Tribolium castaneum: one gene and its partners. The protein of the gene in region 1 interacts with the protein of each later gene in a biochemical or structural test. Links are inferred from orthologs where the notes say so. Each region holds a gene or a part of one and is shown in the gene's direction. Other genes may lie near its edges.

Region 1 (4,099 bases):
ACTAATAACCGGCGCACCAACTCAATGCTGTGTGATAGAAAAATGCCTTCATACAAGGTGTCCGTTTTTCGAGCTTCCCTAAGGGGATCTCAATTATTAACATACAATTTAATCTTACATTACATGCTGATTAAAATGAAGAAAAAAGCATTTTTACGATGAGTGCTTTGGAAAAAGTCCAACAATTTTATTTGTAAACAAACTGATTTTGGAAGTTCAGTTGAATTTGAATCTGAATCACATTTTCGTCAAACTTACTTACTTAGAAACTAAACAACTTAATAAGCTTTAGAAGTTTATTTTTCGCAAAATGAAACAACGAGCAGTTATAAAAATTCGGCTCACATATTTTAATAGAACTGTCAAAACCTAGTTTGTTAAGGATGGATTTTACAATCGTCAGATAAATCCCAGATAAGGTATTATACTATAGATACTATGGTTACAATTGTTTCAACAATGTATTTTTTTAAATTTATTCCCAGGATAAAGTCATCCAACGATTGTAAAAACGTTGTTTTTCTAACGCATTCTTTGCAGAAACATCTTTTTTCTAATTTTAATCAGCATGTAAGATTCGATCATACCATGTAAAATGTAATACATCATTGTAATCAGAAACATAAACACTTTTCAAAAATATAAGTGTTAAATATGGCGTTCATAAGAAAAAACAAAGTTTAGTGTTGTAACTCTGACATCAAGAACATCTTGGAAAAGGCGATGCCAGATTTAGATTTGTTTGAAAACTAGGTACCTACAAATTTTTAATTTTTCTTAATAATCTAAAAACTAAAAATGACACATCAAATTATTTTTCAGGTAATTATCCAACACAAAAATACGCAATTTTACCCTAACTTAACCAACTTCCTATCTCAATAACTGAGAGATCCCCATGATGGAGATCGAAACCGACACCTGTGTATTTAAATTTTTTTATTTTAACAAGAAAAATAATGTCAGTTAATGGATTTTAATTAATAATTTTAATAAAAATTTTCATGTTTATTTGCTGCAATTTTATTTGAATACATTTGTTTGGCGGATAACGAATTCGAACTAATGATTCGTATTCTTGCCACGGCAGCGCCACGTGCCGATGATCGTTAGCCGCCCTTGACACTAAACGTTTAATGTTTTGAACACACAAGTTACAAAGACTTTAAAAACAATTTAACGGATAGTATAAGCAAGCTTCAATAAATCTTTAGACTTCATATTTTTGATTTGAAGTATGGCTAGCGCTAGGTATGGATCATTACGCTGCGGTCGGTTAAAGTATGACAGCTGATCGGTGAGCTCCGATTGGTCATTTTCAAAATTGCATTTCTTCAACTGTAACTTCAAAGAACACGAAGCTTTAACTCTCATATTTGTTAGAATTTTAGTGAGTTTCTTGAGGAACATCGAGTGTTTTTGTGCTTTAGACACAGATTAGAGAGGTTAGTTGATCTGTGCTTTAGATGTGTAACAAGTTGAGTTTGAGTTAAGTGTGCAGTGCAACTAAGAAAAAATGTGTGACACTCCTTTTAAAACACCCCTACCGTATCGAACCCCCCGAGCTGACTTGAACCGAGACATGTTTGTGGAAAAAGGAGCCTCCGACAGTGATGAAAGCGTTGCCTCGTGTAATTCTGATAATATGGGTTCTGGATCAGGCCAGTCTTCAAACGGAGACATTTCCCTGGCGGCGCAATTTGATGATTTGATGCGGAGTTATCGCCCCTTTAGAAACAATGAGTTAGAGACTCTCCCAGCGTTTATGGAGTTTGTTGAAGAAGTGAAGTTATTGTATGTTGATTATTTTCAAGCACTGGATGAAATTAACAGGCTGAAAAATGTTCTCGATAATAAAGTAGTGGAATGTAGTGATTTGGAGAATAAGTTACACACAGCTCGGAAAATGATTGATAAGGAAAAGCTAATGGTTAGGACAGCCAGGAAGGAGAGGGATGAATTAGTTAGTGTTTTGTCTCGTTTTGTGGACATTTTATTAAAAATTGTTTTTAGGCTTCACAGATAAACCTTGTCAAAGACCTTCTCTTCAAGGATAAAAATACTACTATCAGGTTTTCGGATGAAATGAGGCAAAAATTTTCATTTTTGCATAATAATAACTGGCAAAGCGAGTGGGATTTGACCAGTGCAAATGGAAATGGTCATCATCCCCAACTTAGCGCTATCAGAGAAGTTAATTCAACTGGTAATTCTAAAAAACATAAAAACTGAACGTAAAATTAATACAATCGTTATGTTTTAGGATCCATGTTGTCAGACTTTAGCTATTCACAGTCAGAAGATGATTTAGATCATTCTCGTCTCTCTGGAGTTGCTTGGAAAAAACACAGGCCAAGCACAGGTGCCTCTGCCGAACCTGCAATTAAAAAAAGACGTTCTTCTGGAAATAAAGTTGTTGAGGTAATAAAGTTTATCCATATTTACACATTTTATTACATTTTTTGGATAAAGGGATTAAAGGGTCGATATAGTTTTTTTCAGGTTGTTTACATTGAACGAAATTTTATTTCTTGTCATTCTCAAAATTAGAGCCTTATTGATTCAGTTTTTTGTCTTTTTTGAGTGTTACTGACAATTCTCTACCTGAGAGCGAAAACAGCAAAAAGTCCAAAATGCTCAATATTCAGGACTAATTTTAAATAAAAGTTTAAGCACTTTTTAAAAATAGAAATTTAATAAAAAAATCACCAAATTTGATTGACAGTGACACGATTTTTGAATTTTAATACATTTTCCAGTCAGAATAAGTACATAATTTTTTTACCAAATTTCGTGGAACAACGTTTCAGACTGTTTAAGCTGAAATTTCAAATTTTTTCACAAAACCGACCCAAAAACCTTTAAATCAGGTTAAAATATCACCGTGAATTGTGTCATATATAATATCGGGTGACTGATATTAAAGATTATGTCAAAAAACAATTATTATTGGCATTCCTGGTTGTTTTGTTATGTCATTTCATGTGACAAATTTGTTACCAGCCTGACGACAAAAATCGCAGTCTTTAATGGTTACTTGGTATAAAAAATTACCAAATAAAATCAGACTGTGTTAGTTCTGTCGTAGCGAGAGTTGAATGTTTACGAATTTGGGTTAAAAATGAGAGTGATTTGCCTTTTTTAAACATTTTAGGTCGTTTTTCATTCAGAAACACTACAATTATTATTTTAAAGATTTGCGTCAAAATTTAACTGAAAAATTGTCGAACTACATCGAAAATGGTGAAATTTTTCCATATTTCAAGCGTTTATACACTTTTTCGAATTATGTATTTAGATTTTTTGCAAGATCTTTTTTCAGAAACGCATTTCTTCAATAATAATTGATAAGTCGGAAAATCAAAATAGAACGTAAATGGTTATTTTTCATTTTTTCGAGAGCTTTAGTTCAAACGTTTTTCCGGCAGAAATATTTTTTTTCAACCATACCGTAATGAACATTTTATTTTTGTTATGTTCTTGACGGAAAGTACCCTTTTACAGGATAGTCTGCTTGATCATTTTTCCCGCACTAGCCCAGTAAAAACGAGCTAATGAAGTTGGAAGTTGAGAGATTTGTTTATAATAAATATTAATTTAATGTACAATTATGTGCAGAAATGCTATATGAAGAATGAGGTATTGCAACTGCAGTCACGTTTTTAACATTCTTAATGACGTTATACGTTCTTTGGGGATCATCACGGTTGCAAAAAAAATATTGTACGCATCACGTCCGAAAAGTGATCTTCTGCTGCTACTCGTAAGCTACCAGAACTCGTCTTCGACTCGTCTTTGTATTAACTTACTCGTCCAGTAAAATCTCACTTTTCGGACTTGATAGGTAAATTACTTTTCCCGAAATCTTGTCAAAAATAAGCCAAAAAAAAAGTACTAGCAGAATTGTATAATTTTTATCTGTTTCATCCGTTTGGGCGCGTGTTTTAACTACAAACTTTAATTATTTGAAAAAAAATTGTGTCGAAAATTGTATTATTTTTGCCCCTTATGAGATAACTGATTCAGATTTTCGCGAGAATTTTCGACATAAGATCCATATTTTGTCTTATCCGAGGTTTTAAACACGCTTTTGAGATTA
Region 2 (4,327 bases), on another chromosome or scaffold:
GAAGTTTTTTTCCCAAAAGAATACCTCCAGTATTTAAGAAGATTTTTAAGTTTGCAGAACTTCAAACACCCATAACTAAAAATTTTCAAATGAAATGCCATCATTTTTTCCTATACTTTTGTTTAACAGTTTTCATGCGGATTTTTTGTTGATATTGTATGTAGGGATGTAGGTAAATGAAATTATGGAATCAAAGTTTTTCAAATCCAAATTCAATGAATTCATTTTGTTTTAACGGAAAGGAAAACAAAATTTTGAACAGAATTTATCGTTTATTCAATGAAATGTTTCTTTGTCAAACTGCGCAAAAATATCTGTGGCTAGCAATGTCAAAAAAATTAACATAACTTGAAAATTATCACAAATAAGCATAAGAAATGCCAACACAGATCGTTGCAGAATTAAATTTTCTTCTATTTAGTGAAATAAAAACTTATAGCATGTAGAAGCTGTCCAAAAATAACGTTAAGATTTTGGATTTTGTAAACTTTTTTGAACACACTGAAGGAAAGATTTAGGCTTTGTTTTTGATTGGCCAAATACTGTTTCTAAAATTCTAAAAATAGCAGAATTTACGATTATTGAAGTGAAAGGTGCAAATCCAAAAATTTCCAAAAAATTCTGATTATTTAGAAAATAGCTAAATTTAGGAATAGGAAAAAGCTAATAAAAAAGTTCATAGCGATTTTCGATACAATCGGAAGTGCCGCCATTTTGAAAATATTTTCAATCAATGAGCTATGGCTCTAGGCTAATTTTCAGATAAATGTTATTATCAAAACTTTCAGTACTTTTTTCAATACTCCGAAACTTAGTTTAGACAGAACACTTTGTATTCGTCAAACATTTTCTCGTTTATTATTAAACTCTAATAAAAATAAGTCAAAATAAATTTCCCGTGTGCCTTTTTTTTTCCTCGAAAACCAAGTGCAGTAATAATAATTGCCAGATTTATTTTTTTGTGAAAAAACAGTGTTCTCATAAATCATACACATTCGATGTTGCATAACAGATGACGCTTTGCAGTTTTGACTTCCCCAAAAATAAAAATACGTACATGTTTATGGTGTTTTTGAAAAAGTGTAGACAACGCAAAGTTAAAATTTTATATTTTATAAATTTTTATAAAACGTATAAAATTTGTCTAGGAAGAACAAGAATTTTAGGAGTAGGCCTTCGCCCTGCCTGAATGCGCGGCCTACAGTCCTGTATAAATTTCTGTTTAGTTTTTTTTTAATATTAATTGTTAGGTTGTTAGCTAGGCAACGCCCTCAGCAGAAGCATTTTGTGAGTTGCATAACACATAAATCAATGTTTTGATAGACTAAATTTAAAATACGGTCAAGATCAGCGTTTGGCCCAATTTTTGATCGACCAAACCAAAGTTGTTGAGTCAATATAAACCACTTTGTGTATTTTATTGTGGTCTATTTTTGTTTGGTGGTTAGAGATCGCGTTCTGCAAGTAGTCACTTCCGTTGACAATTCTTTTTTCCCCACCATTTTCCTGTCCAATCAGCCAATCAGCTGCCGGCGTTTGAAATCTTCTCAACTGCCAAAAGTTTTTCAAGCCGTGGTGGATGCTTGCCGTAAAAACCCAACCAAACGCAATAACTGTGAATAAAACTAGGAGTAATTAGTGAAAATGTCGAAAGTGGACGATTATGTCGTAGTTCCCGACTATATATACGACGAGAACACGAAAATTAGGTACAAAAAGGGGCAGTTCTTCGGCAAGGTTAGTGTTGTTTTTGTCGATGGGTTCATGTGATAGTGGCCGTTTTTTCTTAGGGCGGATTTGCAAAATGCTACGAAATTACGAATGTGGCCAACAGCCAAACGTTCGCCGGGAAAGTCGTCTCGAAAAAGCTGATAGTCAAGGAAAACCAGAAGGAGAAAATGACTCAGGAGATACAGATACACAAGTCGTTGAAACACAAAAATATTGTCGGTTTTTATAGTTTTTTCGAGGATACGGACAATATTTATATAGTTTTGGAGCTGTGCAGAAAGCGGGTGAGTTTTTGGCCCTTTAAACTGCGTCTGTTTCCTGGTTGTTATCGCTGCTCACTCTGTATTATGGGAAACTATAATATTGATAGTTTTATCACCAAAACTAATATTTAAACTGATGTCTGTCATGGCCAATGGTTGCACAAACAAAGAGCTAAATTAATTGGTAAATTAAACAACAGTCCACCTCTTTAAGACACTGTAGTTTGTATAATTAATTATTCATGTTGGTATCACTTGTGGCGCTTATACTTGGGTTTCTAAGTTAGGGAGGTAGTTCTAACTACAGTTTCCAGGTTTATTAATTTCAAAACCTCTTTTGACTCAAGTCGTAATGGAAAAGATTGTAGCAAAAAAATTATATTAAAATACCATTTTTATTGTACATAAATAAGAAGGGTAAATTATGAATGGGGGCTATGATGGGGGCTCGTAGATGACTTTGGTACCTTAGGCCCTAGTTGGTATTCCTTAAAACCTTTGATAAATTTACAAGTAAACAAAGTGCTTGCCAAAGTTTTTTGGAAAATATTTCAGAAAGCAAACACAGTTATTGATAAAATTGTGTTACTCTTATCTTTTGAGCTTCCTAGCTGAAAAATCATGAAATTAAAGCGAAATTTATTTAATTTAGCTTATTTTATTCGATTTTGCTCGTTTTTTTCCAAGCCAGTAAACACGTGTTTGAACTTACATTCTTAGTTTCTTGTAAAAATCACTAAATTTACTGAAACATTTTTTTTCCTTTTCCATTTACAGCCAATAAAGGAATTATCCCTGAAAATTGTGTACACGAGATAAAAACTAAGTTTTTTTTTTAGAAAAATTTACGCGAAAATGTGATTATTTCAACCAGAGATTCATTTATTGCACAAGAACTTTTTACAACAATAAATCTTAATCAAAAGTAATGTTATTTCTGCCTGTTTTTGAGCATTTAAGCATGTTTTAGAGCTAAAACCTGTTTTTTGAGACCGAAAAATTACCAGTTTGAATCCAAAATTATTTCGTTTTTTTTTTTTTCACCAGCAACGCAAATTTTTCGCGAAATCTCTTAAAAACAAGTCGAAAAGTCACCCAAAACATATACTAAAATGGGTGTTATTTTAGTGTTCTTCGACTTTCATTGAGTTAAAAATTAAGTTTTTTTCAAAAAATATACCTAAAAGTGGATGAAAATTCACCGAATATATCGAAATTTTTATTTTATATTTTTTAGTTCGAGGCTGATTTATTTGGAATTGATGTCAGTTTTTTTCGATTTATCACGTTTTTGGGCGAAATTTCATCAATAGTAAGCTTAAAAGATAAAAGTTTGGTCGCAAAGTGTGTTATTTTTATATTTTCTAAGCAAGTGTTTGGAGTTTCTTATGAATTTTCTAAATTTAGCTGAGTAAAATATTCTTTTTTCTTTTCCAAATGGTATTTTGTAATGAACAAACCGAAATTTCACCAAGTCACACTGAAAATTGTGTGAATTCTGAGTTTTTCGAATATTTAAACATGTTTTGAGATATTAACTAAATTTTTTTTAGAAAAATTTTGCTAAAGGTAGGTAAAAATTAGAATATTTTAACCAGAGATTCAATTATTAATTAATACTCAAAAATTTTTTACAACAATAAATTCTGATCAAAAATAACGTTATTTCTGCCTTTCTTGAGTATTTAGACATGTTTTAGGGCTAAAATCTCTATTTTTTTTGCTAGAAGTGACCGAAAATTAAAAATTTAAATCTAAAATTATTTCGTTTTGTCTTTTTTTAGCACGTTTAAAAAAACAGACCGAAAAGTCACCTAATTTTACTAAAATGGGTGTTACTTTAGTATTCTTCAACTCTTGAGTTTTTTTTTTTTTTCGAAAAATTTACCGAGAAATGGATGAAACATCTCCGAATTAGATCAAAATTGAAGTTGTCTTATATTTTTCTAAGTTCAGACTGATTTACTTTGCTAGAACTTGTTAAAAGACTCGTAAAAATCACAAAATAAATAGACATTGAGTTTTTTTCGATTTATCGCGTTTTTTAGCAAAATTTTGTTATAATAGGCCGATAAACCACAGCATTTAGTCGAAAAGCATGTTGTGTTTGCGAGTGGTTGACACCAGTGGCGTATCCACAGGGGTTCCGTGGAACCCGGGCCCGGAGCCTAAAAGGGCCCGCAAGCTTCAAGAGCTCTTCGATTCAAATTTTAATGAAAAAAATTGTTTCTAAATTTATCCCAGGCAATAGGCGATTGTTGTAAAGTATAGTCTGCAATTGTAAAGCGATACGGTCTAAATAATACTACGAATTCATAAAAATGTCTACGTTA
Region 3 (4,028 bases), on another chromosome or scaffold:
TTCGGGAATGCAGTCATGTTTATTTTTTGGTACGTGATATATTGTCTACGTTTCGCCACCTTCTTGGGGCTTCTTCAGGACAATAAATAGTAATTTATTGTCAGATCTATCGATTATATGTGTAGCCTTAAATTGCCTTCGAAAAATATTTAAAAAAATATCCTGCAGGGTTCCGCAGTAATCTGAATTCTTCTGAATATAATTAATCTACGGTAGTAATTATTCTAAAAATATTCAGTTGTAAAAAATTATTTTGTACATATATTACGTTTCTTAAAAATTCAATTCAAATTTTGCGATCAGGCGCTTGTTTGAACGTGGTTTGAACAGGTCCTCTTCAGACACTCTCAGGATAGTTCAACCTTGATTATCCTAAACAGTTTCAGAGATTTATTAAAAAGTACTTCATTTACAGTATTAGCAGATCAGAGACAGAAGAAAGAAATTGGAGGTGGTCCGAATCGCCGGAAAGATTAGAGTACACAACTAGTGAAAAAAGACGTGAAGAAAAACACACGAGAAATGGCTGTAGTTCTAAAAGACGATCTCAGGAAACTTCACATAGTAGAAGTTCTAAAAGTAGAAAAAGGAGCAGAAGTAGAAATAGACGAGAAAATAAGAGTAACAGAAAAAAGTCCAAACACCATTGACTGTAACAAGTTGTTTAGAATAAACGTTTAACATCTACTTTTTATTGGTTTTTATTATTTGCAATGAATACAGTTATTCATCACTTTTGGACCAGCTGTATGCAATATTGGCAAACTTGAAAATTGGTCAACAAAAATATAATAGTGGGAAACCTGGGTGAATAAATACTGATTATTCCCGCAAGTATTTTTTCTCGGATGCGATTAATGAGAGGAAGCGGTGCCAAAAACGATCAATGGGCCCTCCAAAAATCGGTTTTCGCAAAACCTGACCTACGTGAGGCAAATCCTGCGGCTCTATTAATAGGAAAACTATTTACAAAAATAGACTTGTGTCTATTTTGCGACAATCCGGCAAAATTCATTCGACGGTTTTTTGCCGCGCAGAAGTGGAAGAGGATGAGTCACTTCCAAGAACGGTTGTACGTAAATTTGAATGACCGCGGTTTAGTCTCAATTTTTCTAAACGCCCGTTTTCCTTCTCTCACTGTTTCACGTACGGGGGATGTTCGATTGACGCGCAGACTGTCTTAGATGGGACGGAAACTGCTAGTAATTCTGTACCTGACGAATCGAATCGGCCAATCAGAGCGCTTCATTTGACTTTGAAGTTTTGGTATGGAATGGATGGTCCATTTTTAGTTCCAAACAAAGTAAAACCGCTCAAAAATGTGTTTAAGGTAGTTTGTGGTGTGATAAGTGTGAGATTTTAACGTTGTGATAAGAGACGGTTGTGGGACAGACGCGAAAACGTGCGAATTTAGTGCTTTAGTACTGATGGTGTAACCAAAAAGTCGCTTCAAAATGGACGCACGCATTCAGCCCCAAAGTTCCATTTGTAGTGACTCAAATTGGGAGGAACCCGCGGGAAATGACGGTGAGGGCCCCCTTTTGACCCAATCGCCCCCTTGCCCGCTCACTTGTAATCAATTTTCGGGCCGGAGTTTGTTAGGTTATGTTGATCAAAGCAAGGTTAAAACAATTTATCTGAGCTGCTAAACGAATTTATTTGGTCAGATGTTACTAATGTTCTGTTTTAATCTAGTTGCACCCTTAAAGAGCAACCGAAGGATATGTCTGGTTGGGGGTCTGACCACCGATACAGCCCTTCGGACCGTCGCAGAGTCCTTTCGGGTGCCGGTTGTTACTTCAAAAGACGGAGAAGATTGTGCTCAAGATGATAGTTTTAGTACCGTTTTTATATTAGAGAGTTTCGAAGGAGACGTATTTAATTGTTTATATAAACAGAAGCAGTCCCTTATGGGGCCCTTGGCTCTGCAGCAGCTAGCCAACAAGAATGAGCCACTTCCAGACAACACGAGGCCCCTCTTCAACCTGGCTATGACGGGGGTCGTTGTCTGCTTTACTGGATTCAGGAACAAAAGTGATCTGGTCAGTATTACTCCCATTGTGCAAGCAATTGTAATTAATGGGCTTGTTTGGCCGTTAATGATGTAATAAATTCGCCTAGAATTTAAAAGCAATTTGAATGTATTTAAGACATTTGGAAATGTTTATTATCTGGCTCGTTATTCACTCATTGTTTTATTCATTCATGTGATGTTTGGGTACTACACATTAATTTGCATTTGGGTGCTATAAATAGAATAATCACCAACGTACTCACGTTTAACAGCCGATTATTTTGTTGTTACCGTTTCGAATGTGGGTTTTGAGAGTTGCAATGGAACGTAAATCGAAAGAAAAACCTAAGATCATTTCACAAATAAACACACCAAAAAAGCAAATGCTAATTTAATTAGTCAGCATTTTATCAACAGGTGAAGTGATAAATATTTTTGTTAACATTGTCAGATGAGTTTAATTTCGCTTTATTTTTGTTTGTGAGCATCAACAGCCTAGTCCATTTTTTCCAAAAAATAAATAATAATTAAAAGTGAACATTGGACACACTTTCTATAACAAACGGCATTATTTACAAAATGAAACACTAAGCATGTAGGAAAATAATTTTAATTTTTTCACCTGTAACGACTGAGCTAATCTTACCAGAAATTGTAAAATTTCCTCTTGTGTGAAAGTAAGAAGAAAACCAAAAAGTCTTTGATATTGCCTTCTCCAGCTTAGAAATGATCACAAATTCATCAGTAACGGAAATTACGATAACTTGATGATACAGCTTAAATCGATACCAAAGGAATATTAGAACAATTACAGAAATCATCCTACTGTTCAAAATGCTGAAGATTTTCCGGAAGACAATTAACCTTTTTACTTTATAAATATTATTTAAATTGTTTAAAAAAATTTCGTTACAGTTTCAATGCATTAGACATTAATTTACACCTTGGACTATTTTGGCTTTTGACATACTGAAAGACAACCTTATAAGTTTAGGGCGTTAAAGTATTAAGTTTTTTCAGTGCCTCTTATTACTTATAAAGCGAATAAAATCGAATATTTCTTTGCAAAATTGTGACATTGATTACTAAATGAGAATTTTTGTTTTAAATTAGTTCTGAATTTTGAGTATTTTGGACTGTTTTCGCTCTCAGGTCCAGAAATAAATACACTAAATAAGCAAATGCTAATTTAATTAGTCAGCGTTTTATCAAACAGGTGAAGTGATAAATATTATTATTTACATTGTCAGATGACTTTAATTTCGCTTTATTTTTATTTAGTTTAGTATGTAACGGAAAAAATATTTTTTTCGATTTACTTTCAGAATTATGTAGTTTTTTAATTAAGATTGTTCGATAATGCATAAACTGTGTTAAGTAATTATTTATTACCGTAACTAACTTTAATGTTAATATTATTTTGAAGTCATTGTCATTTGAATATCGAAACTGAATTTGCATTTAAAATGCTTATACGTTTTTCTACATTAATATATTCATATTATAGACTGAAAGTTCTTTAATTCAATAACAACAGGAATATAAAAAGCTGGGACATCTTTGAATGATTAATACACTTTTACGTATGATTAATCAGTGAATAATCCTACCTTTGAACACCGAAATATCTCATATTTATTATTTTTATTGAACATTTATACGGGAAAAAAGATCATACTCTCAGTGAAGTGTATTTACAGGTCACAAAACACATAAACCAATTTTTTAAACATCGCTAAAAAATTAAATATCGGGTATTTTTATGATGCATTATTGCAGGCAACTTTGGTACCACTGATCCATCATATGGGTGGTTCCATCAGGAAAAACATAAGCCAGAAAGTGACGCATTTAATTGCCAACATTTGTAATGGAGAAAAATATCGTTATGCGGCCGTATTTCGAGTACCTGTGATGAATCAAGATTGGGTCTATGCTAGTTGGAAGAAAAGACATGATATTAATTTTAGTGCAACGGTTGATGCATTTGTGGTAACATCTAGCAATGAAAATG

What was found.
Region 2: of the proteins of tum (region 1) and polo, one has a biochemical effect on the other in vitro, tested with the Homo sapiens proteins (3 studies listed by BioGRID and IntAct, with this or other methods). The link is inferred for Tribolium castaneum from reciprocal best matches to the Homo sapiens genes RACGAP1 and PLK1.
Region 3: the proteins of tum (region 1) and pbl form a complex in vitro, tested with the Homo sapiens proteins (3 studies listed by BioGRID and IntAct, with this or other methods). The link is inferred for Tribolium castaneum from reciprocal best matches to the Homo sapiens genes RACGAP1 and ECT2.

The regions. Positions count from the first base shown.
Region 1 is NC_087394.1:20,769,706-20,773,804, reverse strand, and holds the start of tum (rac GTPase-activating protein 1), read left to right. Parts: upstream 1-1,285; 5' UTR 1,286-1,445; intron 1,446-1,467; exon of another isoform or gene 1,468-1,494; 5' UTR 1,495-1,516; coding exon 1,517-1,963; intron 1,964-2,013; coding exon 2,014-2,206; intron 2,207-2,263; coding exon 2,264-2,421; intron 2,422-4,099.
Region 2 is NC_087398.1:11,007,990-11,012,316, reverse strand, and holds the start of polo (serine/threonine-protein kinase polo), read left to right. Parts: upstream 1-1,509; 5' UTR 1,510-1,644; coding exon 1,645-1,737; intron 1,738-1,790; coding exon 1,791-2,015; intron 2,016-4,327. UniProt on the Homo sapiens protein: Serine/threonine-protein kinase that performs several important functions throughout M phase of the cell cycle, including the regulation of centrosome maturation and spindle assembly, the removal of cohesins from chromosome arms, the inactivation of anaphase-promoting complex/cyclosome (APC/C) inhibitors, and the regulation of mitotic exit and cytokinesis.
Region 3 is NC_087398.1:7,933,438-7,937,465, forward strand, and holds the start of pbl (protein ECT2), read left to right. Parts: upstream 1-1,228; 5' UTR 1,229-1,454; coding exon 1,455-1,527; intron 1,528-1,695; coding exon 1,696-2,042; exon of another isoform or gene 2,043-2,117; intron 2,118-2,277; exon of another isoform or gene 2,278-3,151; intron 3,152-3,793; coding exon 3,794-4,006; intron 4,007-4,028. Other genes in the region: U2 small nuclear ribonucleoprotein auxiliary factor 35 kDa subunit-related protein 2, read left to right, coding at 416-650. UniProt on the Homo sapiens protein: Guanine nucleotide exchange factor (GEF) that catalyzes the exchange of GDP for GTP. Promotes guanine nucleotide exchange on the Rho family members of small GTPases, like RHOA, RHOC, RAC1 and CDC42.